Lepisosteus oculatus: one gene and its partner. The protein of the gene in region 2 purifies or fractionates together with the protein of the main gene of each other region. This does not show direct contact. Links are inferred from orthologs where the notes say so. Each region holds a gene or a part of one and is shown on either strand. Other genes may lie near its edges. The genes, in order: Golgi apparatus protein 1 and osbpl8.

Region 1 (3,921 bases), on a different chromosome or scaffold from region 2:
TTACAAGCAGCTGAATCTTCAGAGGGAGAGAGACAACGAGGAAGCATTTCTACACCGCATACAACCAAAAAACAACAAGGTTAGCAACTTGTCCCAAAACGCAACATACACCCTGGTTTAAAAACACCACAAGGAGAACCGTTTACACGGCCTGCTCCGCCGAAGTCGGCGCTTTTGTTTTAAACAGAAGACGCAAAAGCTTTCAAGGCGACTTTTTGTGGGTTTTTTTTTTTACTGCCCTGAACGCGTGACGCCTCGTACACGTCTCGCAGGGAAAAAAAAATAGCGGGGGCAAAATATTTCTTGGGACCGCTGCCTTGGTCTATTGCCAAACTGTGTTTTTATATATATATAGATATAAATGGCATTTTCGGGCCCTGTGCTGGCTGGCGCGCTGTCTCCGAGGCGCTAGTCACCAGCCATTACCTTGGTAACCCGGAGGAGAGACGAAACAGGATTTCCTCTCCCTGCGGTTCACAACGACGACTTGAGGGAGGCAGGGTCCCTATGAGCCGAGGCGGCTGGCCGTGTCGTGCTTTGTCAACTGCACACCTCACCCTGAGTTTACGGTCGTTGCAAGCTGCGTCAGTAAGGTAATTTACTGCAGAAGTTTGCCGTTGAATGCCATTCGAGTTGCCAGATGTTGGGGGAAAAAAACCCGAAATCCTGTTCAAGCCCGTTGCTTGCTTTTCACCGTTTCACGGTTCCCCCCCTCCCTTAAACTCGAGGCTTTTCGCAAAGTGAACACGCTTGGGCCGTGGACAGTAAAAAAAAAAAAACCCCACCCGCGGCGGCGCCGTGGGACGACAACTAAATGACACGTCATGCCCCACTCGCGAAATGTGGCACGCAACCTATGCATCGCTGCGGTCAGTGCCCCCAACACAGAAGCTCAACGCCGTGCCCTAGAAACACCGCTGAAGCGCTTTCTTGCGAGGAAAACGCCAAGCAAGTTTCATGAGTAAAAGTGAAAAAGGCTTTAATGTCAGTCTTTGCATACTCCTTTCCCTCTCAAAAAGGATTTCAAGTGCATAGATAACTTAGACGTTTGATGCCCCTCCTCCCTTTAGTCTGAACTTCTTATTGAAGTTATTTTTTTTTACTTTCTTCCAGGAGTAGCCCCGTTCAACAGCGTGACGAAACACCGTCTCCAACTTCACCACCCCAGCTAGGTTACAGCACTGCAGAAAACCCAGGTACCTCACGGCGGTTACAATCACACAAATACACAAAAGGAGGCAAGAGACTCAGACCCGGCTCAGTTTATGTTCCTCTCTGGCAGGGAAATGCAACAACTCCTCTAACAGGCGCTGTACAATCCTGCAAACCTTCGTCCAGGGAAGACACGTATACTATCGTGGACGAGCAATCTCTGAAATTCAGCCTCCCTGTAACAGCACGCCTCAGTGCTGAGAGAGAGAAGCTCAGCAATGCCATTTAAAAGACTCACAAACTGGGCGTCTTGAACTGCTGGCCATTGAGCTGCTCGTTCATTATGAACACGGCACCTTGCTGCCGGTGCAACTCGTGAGTATCAGTTGATATTGGTCACTGGTCGTGCAAGGACCCGTCTCCCACGGTGACAAACCCACGGGTCTCCCCCACACTGACCACACCACCGTGACAAAGACACGCATGCAGCAGCCCCCTTAACACGCAGGGCTGTGGTGTCTCTCTCCAGCGGGGGCCTCGTACCGCACGGCGGGTCCTGCAGTCCCCGGCGGGGGTGGTGTGCGTGTCCGTCTGTGAGGGACGGCGCCCCGCTGCTCCAGAGCCGTCCCTGTCGCATCCACACCAGCCACCCAGTCCCCCCCATCTCCCTGCAGGCAACACCCTGCCTACCGGCCCGCAGATCCCCCCGCCTCCGCCGCCGCCGCCTCACCTCCTTGCGGTCCTGCAGGCACTCCAGCACGGCCAGGTTGTTGCTCCAGGTGTGCTTGGGGCAGAGCCGGGTCAGGTCCTCCCGGCAGGCCTCCTCCTCGGCCAGCTTCCAGCCGGTCGCCCGGCGGGGCTGCGCGGCCGGGGCTCCGAGGCCCACACCGCCCGGGTTCGGCGGCCCGCCGGGGTTCTGGCCGCCCAGGGGGACGCCGCCGCCGGGGACGACCATCGGATTGCCCCCCTGCCGGGCGTCCCGGGAGGCGGACAGAGCCAGCAAGGCGGGCATCAGCAGTAGGAGCAGCTGAACACGTCTACACGCCGCCATCTTCGGGGAAATGGCTACAGCAGGACGGCGGTACGCCACTCCTGTTTAAAGCGTCGGCGTGCGCGCTGTGGGCCGGCCCACCCCGCTCCCTCCTCCCCGACCCCCGCACGGACGGGCCGGCACCGCGGGAGCCCCAAACCGACGGCTAATGGGGCTGCCAGCGGTCTGGGCTGTCAAAAACATTAAATTAGTTGTTATTCTACGAGGGACGGGCCTAGTAGTAGTAGCCGTAATTTTTTTTTCTCTCCTTAAAATAATAAAAAAAACACAACACACACAACGTCAGCTCACTGACGTTACAGTTAACCGGTGACAGTAAACCCATAAACTTAGACGACCCCGAGAATCAGATATTGATCTGGTTTGGAGCCCGTTGTATTAGCTTTGAGATAAGTTCTGATGCTGTAGCAGAGATAAACGTGTCTCTAGTGCATTGATAGTTGGGGAAATATGAGAAGTTTGCCTTATTTCGAAGCCCTAGTGAATTCTATTTTACAATTTGTTCAAAGGGTTCTCTTTTTTTATATAATGAACGTGTCTGAATAGCCAGTGCCATCGGCAATAATTGTTTTAAAAATAAAACTATTTTTTTAAGTTTGTTTTCAATTTCCTTCGCACGATTGCATGGGCTATTCAGACACATCCACCATAAAAAAAAGAACCCTTTGAACAAACTGTGAAATGCGGTAAAGATTTTGATTATTAAATGCTCACAAAAAAAAATTAACGGTCCTTTTCTGCTACGCTGAACTTTTCAAACAGGCGAACTACGGCTGTTTAATTTCGATCATTGTGGTTCTAACTAGACATCGAGAGAGCGGGTTTGTTTCCTGTGTGGTGATGGGTATATGGACCAAAGTCAATTGCTGGACATTGCGCGGGTCTGTTTCACCACATAAAAATCCATCAGGCGTGGAAGAGATCCAGGCAGGAGTAGGTCTATTAGATTACCGGGCCCTCTGCAGCAGGTGGGTAGAAAGGTGCAGTACCTTATTACTGCAGCTCGCACTGAGAAATGCACACCCTTCCCTCAACACACTGGAAATCTACACATGCTGTCTTACTCCTGCATTCACAGTCGAGTAGCCTCTGACATACAGGACAAGACAGCAGTTACCCAGTTAGCCATTTCCTAACCATGTCTTCCAGCAGAGTGGCAGCGGAGCTGGAGCCTGTCCCTGCAGGTAACAGGCCCCAGGCATGGAGCAGGCCGGACAGGACACCGGTCCTTCACAGACACGCACACACACACCAGGGCCAGTCTTCCGTACCAGCATGTCTTGGACAATTAGCAGACACCTACAAGATACCCTTTCTTCGTTTATGTGCAGTAAGTGAGCCTGTTCGACCAATTTGGTTGACTACGTGTGACCTATCAGACAAGACCTTCCTCTAGTACGGTGACTAGGACCTTCGGATTGTTATTGTTGCCTTAAACAAACAACTCAACGAGCATTGTTAAATTTCCTTCTTGGGCTGCAGCCATTTGCGATGGTTTGAATATTCTCATGAAAATAAAAAGACAATACAAAAACAGGCCCACAGGAAGTCACAAAGTAGAGGGAGTTGGGCAGCTCGTACTTATATTTGTGGCTCTACCAGTGGTACAATACTGCTTTGAAATTAATTATCAATCAATTAATCATCCTTGGGGTCCTGAGAGACTGTTCCCTGATGCAATCAGAGAATCTTTCACATTAAACACTGGTAGTGCAGAA
Region 2 (3,921 bases):
TGTTTTCCCACCATTACCAATGCATCCCACAATGCCACAGCACGTCACATGTAATGTTCTTAGAGAACTGTTTTTAAAAACAAAATAAAAATATTGTAGAGCAGGGGGTCAGAATACATACATCATTTCTGGACAGGAATTGTTTAGGGAAAGCACTAATTAGGTACAATTTGTTCAAAGGTTAATTTGAGCTACAAGTCACACTCTGTCAACTATCAGCTGGATAATTTGTATTAGCCTGAAAGAATAAGGATGTTTTTTTTCCATCAAAACCGTTTTTAATCAAAAAGGTGATTGAATCAACAGTTAATTCCTGCAAGCCGCAAACCATCCACTCTATTTTTAAGCATAATTACCAAGTTGAATGGGTTCGTAGGTGATCTGAAAGACACGATGTCATTATTTTGCAGATCTCAAAATAGGTCAAAGCACATGATGCAGGATAAAAACATACAGATTTGTACTTCTTAAATGTTCTCACTGTTCTAACACTTTATTCACTGATCTCTTTCGAAGTGTTAGTAGAAACGACAGAATATGCAGTGTCATATTGTATTATGCTATGTGCATAGTAGTAAATTATATAGTAGTGTTATAGAATACGAAATAAAGGAGAAATCTATTCAAGAGTAAACGTGTACTCTTTCAAGCAGTAGTCAAAGTGACCAAAAAACGTGAATTCCACAAAATAAGTATTTTTTAATAAACACATGAGATGGCTGGACATATAATGGTGTAATATCTATAATACAAGTAATAGCTTGGGCTTCCTCTTACATGTATTTGCAAAAACACTCAGGAGAAAATGTAATAAAAGAAATCTTGTAAAAGAACGAAATGTGCTTTAACTTAAATAACAACGTCCTGTAGGTTGAATAGTAAGTAACTAAAGCAGACACTACACTTCCGAAACTGTTAAGTGAATGAGTGTCTTGTTACAGAGTTCTTGTCTTTAAAGAGAAAGTTGAAACGTGATATTTACTTAGCAATTAATGCTTGTCGTTGTGCTTTCGCGGTACATAACATTTTGTTTGGACACACTTTTCAGATATTCAAAACATTCTGTCAAGAGATATCTTCTGGTTACGTGCATACCAGCAAAATATTTTCATGTTACGTAAATAAAAACACTACCCTCAAATTAGAATCAGTATCAGGTAAACATGACTCGCGTAGTCCCTGTATATAGAGGATGTTTGCATCACATGCTTAAAAATGGAGAACGTAGAAGCATATTGCAGAAATCCAGAAAGTAAGGGCACAGTCTCTTCTGTTTTGAAAAATGTAACATTACATTTTGACAAAGATCGACAATATAATATGGAAGAGTGCCCGATCAAATCGAAACAAGACATTCACCTCCCAGTTCATGCTCTGCATACGACTACGTAAGAGATAACCAACTATTCAATAAGTCATCTTGTCGTGGAGCATACGGTTATCGTTATTATAGGCCCACATCGGTGTATCCCTAAAACCCGTGTAAAACAAGTACATTGAGGTTACGATATTTACTCTTTAATTACAAAGATTCGTCGCAATAAAAAATGAAGTTTTCAAGTTCCATAAGACGAATTGATTACGCACAACCAGATTAGGGTCGCTGTTTTGTGGACAAAACCACCATCCGAATGGCATGGTTAATTCTTTTAAGAAAAATGCGGTCAGCCAGCACCCCTGAAATGCTCTTGGATCTGCTGGGTGTCTTTACGCCATCCCTTTTTGATAGGGATTTCACTCAAGTAACAACATGCAGTTCATTCTACAACTAATGATTCAATCTTTATTATATACTTTTTCGTGATCTCTAAAATAAAACAGGTACAACTACTATAGTGATATATTCTACTACAAGCAACATAGTGTACCAGTCGGTTGCACGCAATACAAGTTGAAACTCGGGACATTTAATTTTTTTACCTCCCTTTTACCTTTTTTTAAACGCGAGAAAACACACTTCTAAAACCAAGAAGGTACGTGACTAGTTTGTAACTGCATATGTAAAACCTGCTTGGGGTGCTGAACATTTAGTCCAGTCAATTCTTTATTTACCATGATAAAAGTAATCGAGCACCTCCATTGAAATTTGTCTCGCTTTGAAAACCGATTAAAAATATCAGCTGTCTCTAGTTCAGAATGACTTGTAATGCCTCCCCCCAAAAAAGGCTTTGCCTTTGTGGTATATTTATACAGATGGGAAACATCCAAGCGTTTTAAGTTTTTTTTTAAATAAGCTCATAAAAACACTTGTACAGTATTTGCATTTATTAAGTGCAAACACGCGCAGAGAAGTTAAATGAGATTCTTATAACTTGTTACCTGACAGCACACTTCGTAATCCACACTGTGGCCACACTCACAGTATTAACGAAATTAAAAATGACCTTACCTTGCATATGCTACAAAATCTTGAAAGGATCCTTATGCGACGTTTATTAACGGCCTTATGCAACTGTCCGATGCTAGAATTTGTTTCTTGAAGAGAAATTAGTCAAATGGTCATGGCAGTAACTTCATTAGTACGCGATGAATAAACCTGTTAAGCAAGGACGTATAGGTGGTCACAGGCAAAACTCTGACAATTTAACTATAGGTATCTTCCCATTTGTTGCGGCTATTTTTTATCTGTCAACGTGAAACTGTCCTATTCTTGGACGACTTCAGGTCCGCAATTGTAGCCTCTTCCTTCCTGCCAACTAGAGCTCCGTGAATCGAAGATCGATTAGACATTCTGACTTGGCCTGCTGAAGATCAGCGCTCAATTCCTTTAGTCTGGAGATGTTTATATCCTTTATTTCCAGTATATCAGGATAAAACGTAATAAAATGAATGCTATTCCCCACCATTTTTAAACAGCGAAAGCATTAAGAAACCCACAAAGAAATATCACTCTTTCATTACAGAACTGAAATTTTAATTTTCCGTAATGTAGGAGGTCTGAGTTGATCAGTTAGTGTCTTGCGCCCCCTGGTAGCCAAAAATTACATTTACATTTTCAAAATGTATTCCAAGGAAAACTGATTCTTCGACATTCAGAATCTGAATGATAGAATATTGAGAGAAGACCATTAAGTTGAGTTCTGATAAGGTTTTGAAAAATGTGTCCCTTATTTATTTAAACTGAGAGCTTGATCTAGGCCAAACCCTGATTCCACTTATCTGACAGTAGTCTGATTCTCCACTGTAGTATCACATCAATTGGTGAAAGAACAAGCAACATGTACTGATGATAATTTTCCTCTTTATACCACTATATATATATATTATTGTTGTTATGAAGATGAACAATATAATATATATATATATCCTTTGTGTGCTTTCATCACTTAAAAGGTCACCTTCACACTTGTCCAATTTGCAGTTTTTGGCCAACATCAGTGCAACATCAAAGATAGTGAATAGATTGCACTAGTCAAACAATTTAAAAAATCTTGGAGAGAAACAGCATTCTTTATATCCTGTTCTATTTAAGCTCTAATTACCTGAATCTTTTTATGCCTTAGTCAATCAAGGATCTCCAACTGAAGGCATCTACAGTGCCTTGCGAAAGTATTCGGCCCCCTTGAACTTTTCAACCTTTTGCCACATTTCAGGCTTCAAACATAAAGATATAATTTTTTTATTTTATGTGAAGAATCACCAACAAGTGGGACACAATTGTGAAGTGGAACGAAATCTATTGGATTTTTGAAACTTTTTTAACTAATAAAAAAATGAAAAGTGGGGCGTGCAAAATTATTCGGCCCCTTTACTTTCAGTGCAGCAAACTCACTCCAGAAGTTCAGCGAGGATCTCTGAATGATCCAATGTTGTCCTAAATGACTGATGGTGATAAATAGAATCCACCTGTGTGTAATCAAGTCTCTGTATAAATGCACCTGCTCTGTGATAGTCTCAAGGTTCTGTTGAAAGCGCAGAGAG

The links.
Region 1: the proteins of osbpl8 (region 2) and Golgi apparatus protein 1 purify together in Homo sapiens (co-immunoprecipitation; 3 studies listed by BioGRID and IntAct, with this or other methods). This does not show direct contact. The link is inferred for Lepisosteus oculatus from reciprocal best matches to the Homo sapiens genes OSBPL8 and GLG1.

What each region holds. Positions count from the first base shown.
Region 1 is NC_090715.1:16,326,230-16,330,150, forward strand, and holds the start of Golgi apparatus protein 1, read right to left. Parts: upstream 2,418-3,921; 5' UTR 2,204-2,417; coding exon 1,883-2,203; exon of another isoform or gene 1,283-1,882; intron 1,197-1,282; exon of another isoform or gene 1,114-1,196; intron 80-1,113; exon of another isoform or gene 1-79. UniProt on the Homo sapiens protein: Binds fibroblast growth factor and E-selectin (cell-adhesion lectin on endothelial cells mediating the binding of neutrophils).
Region 2 is NC_090702.1:21,121,199-21,125,119, reverse strand, and holds the start of osbpl8 (oxysterol-binding protein-related protein 8), read right to left. Parts: upstream 2,809-3,921; 5' UTR 2,390-2,808; intron 1-2,389. UniProt on the Homo sapiens protein: Lipid transporter involved in lipid countertransport between the endoplasmic reticulum and the plasma membrane: specifically exchanges phosphatidylserine with phosphatidylinositol 4-phosphate (PI4P), delivering phosphatidylserine to the plasma membrane in exchange for PI4P, which is degraded by the SAC1/SACM1L phosphatase in the endoplasmic reticulum.